Linked DNA regions of Drosophila melanogaster. Changing the gene in region 1 together with any one later gene gives a genetic interaction. Each region holds a gene or a part of one and is shown in the gene's direction. Other genes may lie near its edges.

What was found.
Region 2: of vap (region 1) and Appl, changing one suppresses a phenotype caused by changing the other (phenotypic suppression), as found in Drosophila melanogaster (one study listed by BioGRID).

The regions. Positions count from the first base shown.
Region 1 is NC_004354.4:15,999,680-16,007,811, reverse strand, and holds vap (vacuolar peduncle), read left to right. Parts: upstream 1-1,999; 5' UTR 2,000-2,827; intron 2,828-3,367; exon of another isoform or gene 3,368-3,484; intron 3,485-3,725; 5' UTR 3,726-3,886; coding exon 3,887-4,097; intron 4,098-4,169; coding exon 4,170-4,283; intron 4,284-4,362; coding exon 4,363-4,435; intron 4,436-4,516; coding exon 4,517-4,926; intron 4,927-5,099; coding exon 5,100-5,949; intron 5,950-6,021; coding exon 6,022-6,928; intron 6,929-6,993; coding exon 6,994-7,144; intron 7,145-7,226; coding exon 7,227-7,375; 3' UTR 7,376-7,861; downstream 7,862-8,132. Other genes in the region: CG12698 (uncharacterized protein), read right to left, coding at 136-312, 381-521, 572-705, 757-868, 992-1,135, 1,203-1,307, 1,385-1,585.
Region 2 is NC_004354.4:529,504-534,381, forward strand, and holds the start of Appl (beta amyloid protein precursor-like), read left to right. Parts: upstream 1-1,666; 5' UTR 1,667-1,686; intron 1,687-2,123; 5' UTR 2,124-2,295; coding exon 2,296-2,373; intron 2,374-4,878. Other genes in the region: CG4293 (uncharacterized protein), read right to left, coding at 1-27. UniProt on the Drosophila melanogaster protein: During development, plays a role in the regulation of the neddylation pathway. Appl and APP-BP1 interact antagonistically during development.

The DNA.
Region 1 (8,132 bases):
CACAGATTCCGTATCTGGATGCGAAAAAGGGATATATAACTTGTATACAAAGTTATATACAAAAATGATTGTATATGGTGAACGTGTCGCGAATTTTTTTCATTTTATGATACTGATACTTAATTTAGAGCTCACCTTCCTTTTCTTGCTCTGTTCGTTTTCATCCAGCGATGAGGTGGATTGCACGTACTCGTTAATATCAAAGAGCGGCTCGTTATCGTTTGGACCTGTGTCATCATCCAGGAGAGGTCCAGTTTTGAGATTATAAATGTTTGGCAGCTGGAACACCTTTTCCCGGTTCACCATATTGACCTGTGATGGATAAAACGATACTATATGCATATTTCTGTCAAATTCGAGATTTCTAGCAGATAGCACACCTTCATGTGAAGGCATTGTAGCACCACGCATTCCCCGCTAAGGACAAAATAGACATAGCTCATGGTACCCAAGTCTTCGGTGTAGATCGTCTCCAAGGGCTCGAATTGCTGAATTGTTCCATACTTACTGGCATTTACAATCTTACAAACAAGTTATATTATAATTTCTTTTTATCTACTATTATACTTACCTGTTCTTCGTTGAGAAAGTCAAAATAGTCAAGGGCCCGCAGAGCATCCTTCTTTTCCTGCCACATCTTTTGCATAAACGGTAGAAGAACAATTTTATAGTTCGTATTGAATATAGCCAGGAGTTCGCAATAAGCTGAAAGAATCAAATGCGATTAGGTGTCAAGAAACAAACGAATCGATTTACTTGTGGCGATATAAGTGTTGGTTCTGGGTGTATCTTCCATCACGTCAATATCACCAATGCAATCCCCGGGTCCAAAAATGGCCTCCGTTTGTACGGTAGGACGACTGGAGCCCTAAGAAATATACCATTTTTCAAATAAAAAAGCATATATATTTAATAAGGCATAATTGAAAAATTGTAGCTATAACTATGCAAAGCATATTAGAAAGTATTATATATAATTTGAATAGTTTACCTTTTTATATATGTTCTTAGACATTTCCACCTCACCGGCGATTATAAAATAAATGGTTACGGGAAAATCCTCCTCCTTCATAACAATACGCCCGGGAGATATTGCCATGAATTTGACAATCGGAACAAGACGGGCGCGGACTTTCTAAAAGGGGTAACAGGTCGGATAAGTAATATTATACATATGTACAAATGATCAGCGCGCTACTCACTGGCGGAAATTTTGAAAAGCAAGCCAGATTTGCCACAATGGTGCAGAGCTTTTTCCTCTCATCGACGGAACGCTTAGCATGTGGAGTGCGCAGCAGCGATTTCTCCTGCAATTAAGCAAACACAAAAAGGAATAAACTCTTGAGCTAGCCTTGATATGAAAGAAGAGGTTCGTTGGACTTACGGCCATGGTCATCATGCCCACTTTGCGCTTCTGTCGCAGCATGGCAACGTTCTTCTTCACATTCAGCGATATTCCACCCTCCTCGGGCAGCTCACTTAGCCACTGCATATTCAGTATCACGGATCGGATGAGCTTCTTAAACCGAATCTTGGCTATTTTCTTTCCAGCGCCATCGTGAACATCGCGTTGGCGCTTGGACATGATTATGCCTTCTAAATCCCACTGATGTCGAACTGTTCAGTTCAGAGTATTGTGTCCATATAATAGTATTCGAATGACAAAGATTCGGGCTGCCGCCTGCTGTCTAAATAAGCTTGAAAATATGAAAATATATAAACTTAATTTTACCCCATTTCAGATTTTGACGGCTAACGGTTTTCGTGCGCACAAAAAACATGTGTTATTTTCAAAGTGTTTAAATCATCTTTTGTAATTTCAACACATATTAGCTTTTCATTTAAGAAATGTACATTCAAATGCTGAATAAATATTATTTGCGTTTGTTTTTTCTTTAAAATATTATATCTTAAATTGGCTTATCGTTTATAATCGATTTCTTATTCGAGCTGTACTCTCTGGCGCTATCTTGACGCACATACATTCGTCCGATAAGTTGGGTGTGTGGTATATTTCGATGATTCACTACGTTCACACTGCGCACAATTGAATTCTGTGGCTATCGGTACGGAAGAAATTTTAGTTCGTTTTAAATATGCAATTGTTATGAATAACACAAGTTGAGCAAATAAAAGACGGCAATTCCCAGCAGCGCGATTTGTTTTTTTAGCTCGGTGCTGCAGTGCAATGTAAAGTATATAGAGGAAAATATTTACACATGCGCATTAACCGATTAATGTTCTGTGTAAATGGTTTTATTTTTTTTTTTTTTGTATTTTTTGTTACCCATATGAGAGAGAATTAAATGGTTGTGCTAATGATTCATTTACAAAGGAATCACAAACCGAACACAGCCCAGAAATTGTGAATCAAATGGGCAGTAATTACCCCGCTTGAGAGGAGTATGATAAAGACGGCGACGGTGATGACGATGTTGATGATGATGAGATGGTGTTGATGATGATGATGATATGATGACTCTTCGGGTCGTGTATGTATGAAGAAAAGAACCGAATGAATTTTTTTGTGTTCGGCTCGTTTGGCAAAAAGGGCTTAGCCTAAAGTTTGTGTGTGGTGTGCGGCTCATATAAATCGCTTGTGTTTTAGATAGATGTTGATGTACAAGAGGGTGCAGCATATTCCTATATATATACCAATGTACATAAAGTATATATACGGTGTTACAATTCATAAGTAACTTGTACTTTCATACAACTCGAAATATCCTAAAAATGTCTGCGCATATGTAAGAAAGTCAGTCGCCCGGCGATTTCAAAGAGCAATATGTACATATGTACAGTGGCTCACAGCTTAATTCGTCCAGAGGTAAATGTTTATTTAATAATTCGATGAAAAACCGTTTAAAATATCAAAGAAATGGAATAGACAATTTTCCTTATCCATACACATTGAAAACGTATAGAATCAATATACAGATTCTAAGATGAAAATCTTTATAGAAGAAACAACTTAAAGATCTTAAAGTTGTATGGTTTTTTGTTGTCTAAGCTGTGGGTTCACTACACTCCTATATTACTGACTGAAACAATCACAATTGATTTGTTATCTGTAAAAGTAAACAAAGCGCAAACAGCTGATGGATGTGCTGTCCATCTTATCTTTCATTTAGTTTACTGCGAAGTCTACGTCGTTAATTGCTTTTAAATATGGTTTTGGATATAAAGTAGCATTGTCTCTATATTCTAATTAATAAACCCGGTTTCTGGTGCTGGTTGTAATCGGTTGTAATAGCGCCTATTAGTAAATTTCTTGTTTTACCAATAGGCTTAGGTTTAATCGTATTTAGTGTAGGTGTGATGTATTCTTGCCCCACAATTTTGCATACGTTGTTAAATTATTTGTTAGATCCTCAACTTTCGTAACATTGGACCCGAATTTTGTTTTGGACACTTATAGCGAATCTATTCCAATTTGTTTTTGTGAGATTACCACCACCGATATGGCAAAGAAAATGATTTCACGGTAAGCCCCGAATTCCGAATTATTTTCCATTATCTATATTTAATAGCATTAGAAAGCGGAAACTAGAACTAACAAATCTCTCGGGGCGTTTTTAGTGAATGGTTTTAGACATATCTTGGTTTAGTTAAGCATTTGATTCTATTAGTGACTCTCTAATCTGATTTCTGATTTTTATCAAATATGATTTTCGTATTGTAATCAAAGTAAGGCAGCTAAGTGTTTTTATCTGGTCTTCTTACAGTTTAGCACGGAAAACCCCACACAGTCACAAAAGTTAACGTATCTCCTCAGTTAAACGCATTCTTATCATTGCTATATGTGGCTTTTATTAAATCGAATTCCACTCGAAGTTAAATATAGACTAAGACTCGCATTTGCTGAACAGAGATCATAAGCCTAACAATGGCGGACCTAATACATTTGGGAAACATTGATGTTGTCATCCAGAAAGATAAGCCCGGATCGCCAACGGGCTGTTCGGATGATGGGAATCTTGCGGGGCTGGGTGGCATGACCGGATTGGGTGGCATAATGGCACCTGGCGGCATCGACTTGGGTGACTTGGCTCAGGAATTGGATCACGATGAATTCGATGGACCACATATGCTGAATGGTAAGTAAAGTTACATGCCCATACATTGTAGTTCGATCGATAACTAATTTTCCTTGCAAACTCCAAACGCAGGTGAACGTCCAGCGATTATTGCTCCTCCGGAAAGCGAATGGTACCATGGACGACTCGATCGCTACTCTGCAGAGTCTCGCCTACGCGGAAGCAGTAAACTGGGCAGCTATTTAGGTGTGTATAAGATGGTATTCGAAGGTGAGAAAGTATTACTAAATAAATACCTTTGTGTTCTTTTTTTAATGCTGAGCAGTTCGCGAAAGTGACCGCAAACCTGGCTCCTATGTTCTGAGTTATTATGGCCGCACCGGCATAAATCATTTTCGGTAAGTAATAGGTTAAGATACCCATTAAATGCCATTGTTTTGAATGATTTTTTATATATGTATGTTGTATCGTTAACATAGGATTACAGCTGTGTGCGGAGACTTCTATATCGGAGGACGACAATTCATTTCCTTAAGCGACTTGGTTGGTTACTATACCTCATGTAGTGATCTACTGAAACGCGAACGCTTGGCCATACCAGTTGCTCCGCCGGAGCCAGTTAATGATAAGAAACGCGTCGTAGCCATCCTGCCTTACACAAAAATGCCAGAGACCGATGAACTGAGTTTCCAGAAAGGTGATATCTTTTTTGTACACAATGACATGGGCGATGGCTGGTTGTGGGTGACTGCCCATCGTACGGGCGAGCAGGGAATGATATTCAGAGAACTTGTTGACGATCTGGATGTATCTATCGATCCAAATACGGTGTTTCCCTGGTTCCATCCCAACTGCACCAAAAACGAAGCCGTCGATATGTTGGTTAAAGGTGTGTATTATTAGTTTAAGGTACCTACAAGTAAGGAAAGCAAGCTTTCCCGAGATTCACGAGATGAATCCTTAGAATTTTGAGCTTCTTCTAGTGACGCCTACAATCGATATTTTCGACTTTTCTCTGTTGCTATATGTATGTAATTGAAACACATTTTTTCATCCTAACAGCTGGACCAGGAAGTTTCCTCGTTCGCCCAAGTGACAACTCACCGGGGGATTACTCTCTATTCTTTCATATAAACAATCAAATCCAACGCTTTCGTATTGAAAAGAAAGGCGTGCGCTATTTAATGGGCGGTCGTACATTCGAATGCTTGGATGCGGTTATAAATCGATATCGCAAAGAGCAAATTGTGGAGGGCCACTCACTGAACCATCCAGTTGTCAATGGCATTCAGCCCGAGTTCAATCAGCAATATGTTGTGGAAAAGGCCGCTGAAAAGATCTACGCAACATTGCGCGAGTGTCGTGACCAAATCGGTCTCAAAAAGATCAAGGGAATCAAACATCACGGCCATTTGAACAAGAAGTCGGACAAAACGACGAAATGGAAGCAACTCTATTTCGCTTTAATCAACGATGGTTCCGAGACGCAACTATGCTTCTACGACAATCCGAAGAAGACCAAACCGAAGGGTCTGATCGATTTGTCCTGTGCTTACCTCTATCAATGTCACGATTCGCTGTGGGAGCGTCCCTATTGCTTCCAAATTGTCGAAAGGGCCCTGCCATGCTTGGCCACAGTGACGTATCTGTGTGCTCCTAGTCAGGAAAGCTACGTGGAGTGGATTAATTCGCTCAAGGCACAATGCGATTCCCAGCTGAGTCGTGCCCAGAAGAAGGTATCACGCCTTCGTGAGCTTCGTTGTCTTAATCTGCATGTGCTGGAAGCTCATCGATTACCATTTAAACTAGTGCCACATCCATACTGCAGTATTTCCCTCAATCAAGTCAAAGTGGGCAAAACTCGTGTCAAAATTGCACCCGAACCCGTTTGGGAAGAGGAGTTTGTGCTAGAGTAAGTCTACCATTCCTTCGCCTATTTGATAACTTATCGAATAATATATGTTTGTAACTTGCTTGCTTGCAGCGATGTTCCGCCAGATGTTGTCTCCCTAACCATAACATTAATATCGCGCGGCAAACGCGGTAAGGACTCCGAAGTGGCTGAGCTAACCATTGACTTGTCTAGTCTAAAGAATGGCCAGGAAACCGAGGGCTGGTACCAACTCACTGGCATGACGCCGATGGGTGAATGGGGCTCGCTACGATTGCGTATGCGCTACCTCGACGATCTGATAATGCCGTGTGAAGAGTACAGTCCTCTGCAGCAATTGCTCCTCGAATCGGAGCTGTATGCTGTGAAGGCGCTGGCTGAATTGTGCCATAATGATCGGGTTCCTTTGGCCACGGCTCTGTTGCGAGTCTTTAGGCAGGAGAAACGGGAAACGGAACTAATTCGAATGCTGTGCCAAGCGGAGGTGACGCGCGAAAACGAAACCACAACGCTTTTCCGTGGCGCATCCTTGGCCACCACCCTAATGGATCTATATATGCGCACCGAATGCAGCGGCTTCCTGCAATCGGCCGTCAGCGAAACCGTGCAGCGCATTTTGGAGAGCAAGCAGTCGGCTGAATTGAATCCCACGAAAATGGACGTCAACGATGATGCCTGTACGAATGCCGAGTTTCTATTGCAAATCCTCGATCTGGTCACCCAGTCGATATTCACTTCACCGGACGCCTGTCCACGCAACGTGCGTTTCATTTGCAGCTGTCTTCAGAAGGCTGTGATGGCCAAATGGCCGACAGAGCGGCTCGTTCGCACACGCGTCGTCTCTGGCTTTATATTCTTGCGCCTTCTGTGCCCAGCGCTGCTCAATCCACGCCAATTTGGATTGGTCAGCGAGACGCCACCGATGGCAGCAACACGATCTTTGGTCATGGTCGCCAAGTGTCTGCAGAATCTGGCCAACTTGATTGAATTCGGCGGCAAGGTGCGTATCGATTCGACTCAGTTATGTGATTACCAAAATAAATTCGATTTCTTTTTCATTTTTAGGAACAATACATGGAGGTTGTCAATCCGTTTATCTTGAAGAACAAGGAGCGTATGATTGTTTTCTTGGATCAACTGTCCTCGGTGAACGATCCGAACCAACCGCTTGGAATGTTTGTCGAACAAAGTACAAATCTGAATTCACAAGACACTGGTAATTATTTGTCAGCTCATGTTTTCTATTTGGCGCTGTTATATTATTAAATATACAATGATTTCTTTTATAATTCCTGCAGGACGCGAGCTGGCTACCTTGCATCACATCTGCGTATCTCATTCGCAAGAACTGCACGAGCTATCCAACATACTTTCAATTAAGAAGCTGGTCACAGTGACGGACATGCTGACCAAACACAAGCTGAAGTATCGCGAGATGATCAGCTAAAATCAATTGCGAGGAGAGCGGATAATAAAAAAAAGCGATGTCTTCTTATCTACAAGTCCCTTCATACCTTTTTATAAAAATATTTATATGTGTATACTATTAGAATACATAAAATAAGAACTCAAAATAACTGGTTGAATTGTATTGGAATAGTAAACAGCATCTCATTTATAAAATTATTTATATGGAAATGAAATAATATTTAACAGACCGGTATGCATTTATTTATTATTATTATTACAAATTAAAAATAACCTATAATACACTAGCTTACACGGATTACTCCGTATAGCCGCAAACTCAGATATTCAAAATGGTTTTGCTTTCGATATTGTTTAAAATTTATTAGTGCATTACCAACGTCAAATGGCAGTTGGCGTCCAAATGCACGGCATTTATCCAAAAGTCAATACATTTTTTTTTGAAATAACGCATAAAATCGAAATAAATTAAAGAATTCAAAAAGAGTGCAAAAGACTTCCTCTGAAAACATACACTGTGTTTTTGAATGGCTCCCTTTCGGTTTCTTGCAGCTGAAAAATGTTTTTTTTTCGAATTTCTTCGCACTTAAAGGCGTTGCAATGGGCATGGAAAAGTCAATAGTCAGCTGAATTTAATATAAATACATATATTCTTCAAAGGAAACAACAGTTTTGCGTTTATATTTGCAGTTTCGCATCTGATTTCTTATTTTAAGTGTATAAAATCATATTCAAAGAAAAAAAAAACTACCTGATTCGTTTTATATATATATTTA
Region 2 (4,878 bases), about 15 Mb from region 1:
GCCGCGGTAACGCAACGTGGCCGTCATCTTGGTGAAATAAGGAGTTGGTATTGGAATTAGGGTCTAGTGCTACACGCTCGTTGGTTCAATGTTCCTGCAAGCTCGATTTCATATTCATTGCCACGTACGTTTCAGCTTACCGTGCACTGCCACGCCAGCCGGCTAAGTGCGTTGCGCAACTAGGTGAAATGTGCGTTGTTGTAGGTGTATAGCTCCGTGTCTGTACCAGGCTCCGTTCCTAGGTTTATGCTTTCCTGAGGCCTAGCAAGTAGGAGGCGGCGTAAATAAACAAATGTAAGAAATCTAATTTGTAGCCGGTAAGAAGATCAGCTGTGCGGCACAGAGTTGCCAGTCGCTGGGAAGGAAAAAATGAACATGTTAAATAATGTCGAAAGTGGTTTGCAACTTGGCTAAGGGCCAAGCAATAAGTGATGTGGATAGGAAATTGGGTGGTTGGTGGTGGGAAACTTGGATTTGGTCATATCTTACATCTTACATCTTACATCTTACATCTTACATATCGACGCCATCTAGTGCAGATTGGCTTCACCATTAGAAAAAGTATATAAACTCTTGAATCCATCGAGGAAAACAAATTTGAATTAAGTTTAGTGGTTTATAAAAACTCGTGCATAGGACAGCCTTTTGAAGACGGTGACCTGTGCGAAATTCCCTTGGGAGTTTCCACCTAGCGGTGTGCATGTAAACTAACTAACAAGCACTCCGCCAGACACTCTTGGTTCGCCCGCGGAACCAGTTCTCCCTAGTCACTTCTGTCCTGCTTGTTCCGCTAATACCACTACCACTGGAAGCACTGGTACCATAGTGCAGCCCGGACAGCCAAAAACATTGTCACCCCCGCGGAAAGCGGAAGGCCAGTTGCTCGATTCGCCCTTAATATCGATCCCGGGCACGCGCTCTGCATTCTGCGCCCGAGTTCGACTTTCGCAGTTCGCACTTTCGGACGTGGACTCGCAGGATTGCAGGCAACGAGACCACTCGCAGTCGTTTGTGAGCGTTCGCAGCGCCAGGTATAGCGTACAGCCAGGGCTCCAAAAACTCAGCGCTTTAGGGGCTTCTTCGGGCCACCCCATCTGACCACTCCCCGACAGCTTGGGAAGGCCAGGGGCTGCTGGCCAGTGGCTCTTGTCGTTCTCCCGCTCGGGCGGAGAGGTGGTGGCCGAGGAGCCACAAGCACAAAACCAGAGACACACATTGAGAGACCGTCAAATTTAACCAAAACAAGCTCAATACTTTTTTTTGCTGTTCAAGTGCTAAATAGTGCTAAAAAAGAAACCCAACAACAAAAACCATAGAGAAACATCCAAAACAAAGTGATACAAGTTCGGAAAGAAAAAGCGAAGCCGATGCCAATAGTGGATTTGTGATGCCAACTTAGCTGGGGGACAATAAGCAGCGCACCTGCGCAGAATCAGTGAGAAAGGGGTTGGGAAAGTGCGCAGAAGCCCGACGGATACGTTCCAAGAGTGCGGGAAGGGGTTAGCGAGTGGGTGGATTTGCGTGGGAACTGCCAAGACAGGAGACAGGAGACATGGACAAGTGACATGGGACGTGGAACCCGACGACTGCAGCTGACAACTTTTCCAGGCGCAGAACGGCGGCCATAGTGCCACTCATATTTTCCGTTTCGGGGAAGTACAATCTCAGGACCCCGAGAACCAGCGAGTGGGTATGACAGGACAGATAGCAGCGAGTACTCTCGTAGCTTTGCCTTATTTTTCTTTTCTTCCTTTTCCTTCAATTCCCTTATCCGCCCCCGCCCATCACGGACTCTCTCCTACTACGTTCCACAATCGAATACTACGGCCACTCACATACAAGCCACACGCACAGAGTTTTCCGAGTTGACATTTTCCGTGCATAGGTTTCTGGGCATCGGCGAAAGGAAAAGCGCTGCGCTGTGGGCAGCTAACTTGGGCACCGCAAATCGAACGAAATCGGAGTACGAACCTTAGAGCGCAGAAATCAGAAAACAGAAATCATAACCCAGAACCCAGAAAGTTAAAGGCTGAAACGAAAGGCCACAATTCCGAATCGCTTGCTAATGAAATTTTTTTGTGTTTTCGATTTCTTGCTGCTGCTACCGTCGTCCGCCTGTGCAGCAAAGTGTTAAACGAATAGCCAACAAAGCAAATACAATTAACCAGAACTGGAAGCACGTCAGTCCAGCCGCAGAAGCAGCTAAGTTCAGACCAAACTCGGAGATTCCCAGCCAGGAGATAGGACCAGGAGCCAACCAGACGAGGAGCAAAGAAGCAGAAAAGAGTGCGAACAATGTGCGCCGCGCTGCGTCGTAATTTGTTGCTGAGGAGCCTCTGGGTCGTCCTGGCCATTGGCACTGCTCAGGTTCAGGTGAGTCACCGAATCCCCACCACACCACACTACACCACACCACACGACATAACAACACACCACACTACAGCACACCACAACACACCACAGCACACCAGACCATTTCACTCCACTTTCGATACAATACTCGATGGAACGAAGGAGTAAGTCGAAAGAGCCGAAACTCAGAACAGAAACACAAACCGAAAATGAAACTGACAGAGAACACTGGGAAACTGGGCAAAACTGCACACTAAAACATTGTTTCGTTAGGGCTTTAATCGGGATGACAAATTGATTTAAACAGACAACTCGACGCTCGATGTTAGCCACGCATTGAAGCTGATAGAAGTCAAAACAATATTAATTCGGTGTCCGGGGAAGACAAGTAGGTCTCCAGCAATTAGGGACTTGTGTTGTTGCGCTACTGCCTCATCTGGCTTACTGACACAACACCCAACTTATGTATAACTTGAGTACGGCTCACAAAATAGCAGTGTGGCTCTATACTTTCTGCGTGCAACAGCAATACCAATCGCAACCGCAACCCACACACACAGGCACCCACACTCTCGCACACACACAGAGAGCCAGATACACAAGCACACAAGCACTTGAGCGGGTTTCTGTGGGATGTGGTGGCCGTCGGCTAAGCAGCCGCGCAAAGTATGCTACGAAAAATGTGCCATCGCTTAGCAGCGGCACTAAAGGCTCGAGGGCTTGAAGGCGGGAAAGGGTTGGGGATTGGGGATTGGGGATTGGGGATTGGAGATTGGGGATGGGTATGGGATGGGGATGGGATGGGGATGGGTGATAGGGCTGCCAAATTACTTGCGAGTGTGCGCAAGTATTGGCTTAATTGAACCGTTTGCTTGTCGCTGGCTACTGGCCAACTGAAAGCCGAAAACCGAAAACTTGAGGCTAGAGGATAGCAGCAGCTGGCTTCGACTAGCAATTTGCATATAAAAGTAGCGGAGGTGTTACCGAAACCAAACAGGGCGTGCAGACATTTTGATTTTGATTTTCTACACGCAGCGACTGGCAAATATCGTAGAAATGGAGTGCGGGGCCGGGTTATGCGTCCTTCGGTTGGGGTTTAAGTCCGGCTAAAAACTATCCGGCTCTGTCTGAGCATAATCCCCAAATTGGTCTGGGGCTGGACCTGCATTCACCACGAATCCTCTTGTTCAGGTCAATTCATCGACTGGCATACGTGCACGCACACACCTACCGACAAACCAAAAGGGAAGACATGCGTTACTAGGATATTGTTAGCTTTAGCTAAAGTGTTTTTAAATCATTTGCAAACAATTTTTGCCAGGCGGCAGCTCTCGTTCTTTGGGGCCGATCCACAATCGCCGACGTGCCTGACCTTAACAATTTTGCTTTACTTTCTTGTCTCTTAAATACCTCGGAGCAATTTTCCCTTGGCAACGCAGAGCGAACAGTCTTCTGTGGCGGAACAAAAACCTAATAAAATCCATATTCATGTGGAGACAGACCAATTGAAAGAGAAGAACCGAGGGGCAGCACCTCCAAGGACCCAGGAGCCAGGAGTTCGGCCCAATCCCGGACAGGGGAGCAGTTAAGCTGCTTTATAGCGCATTGCACTCCTTTCATGTCTTGCTTTGTATGCAGCCTGCAATTTGCTTTGCTCTCCATTCGTTCATTCACTCTCCACCCATCTTACCCTTAATTCGGCTATTCATGCTAGACCGTCGCTGCGTGCAATTCATGGCAGGACTAGCCTGGACCTGGTCAGCCACTCACCCACAGGTCCACCCTTCAGCTTCGTTGTTATCAGGGGCACGCATCGCCGACGTCATTTTTGTGGTGGTCGTTGATTACTTATGTCGCTTGCACCCACCATTCCCACCCTGCTTGGGACAACTACTGCTAAAGCGTTTTAATACCTTTTGCTTCGTGTAACTTTAATATTGGATCATTTTTCTTTGTGAAAAATGCTAGCAGTTGGTTGCAATATAACCCACATTTTCAGTAAAAAAAAAACTGTCGGCAAAGTTCTGTGTGTTTTAAGCGGGATTTCCAAAGTAGTGGTTTCCTCCAATGTTGTAGTAATGCATTACCAACTAGGGACTTTTTTTAAAAGAATTTCTGTTTTTTTGTACCCTGCCCTCCCCAGTTGCTCACCCGTTTTGTAGCTATCTCCTTTCTGCTTGTATTCTTTCTGCCCTTTTTCACTCTTTTTTTATAAGGACATGTCTGAATCATCCAGAAAGCAGGGAGGGATTTGCGGACTGCAATGTGCAATATACCCGAGAATCTCCCCAAACACTCGATGCCAACGATGTGTCTCCCTCAAACCTGGCAAACGGAACACGCAATCGTTGCTGCCAAACAGCCCATTCAAAGTCCCTTTTTACAGAGGCCTGGGGCTTTCAAAGGGGATGACAGGAGGGTGGAGAAGGGTGGCTGGGAGTCGTTGGCCATTTGATTGTCGGGTAGAAACTGCGAACCGACGGCCAACTTTAGTTGCACACCATGCTTCTTTGGCACAACTCCCCC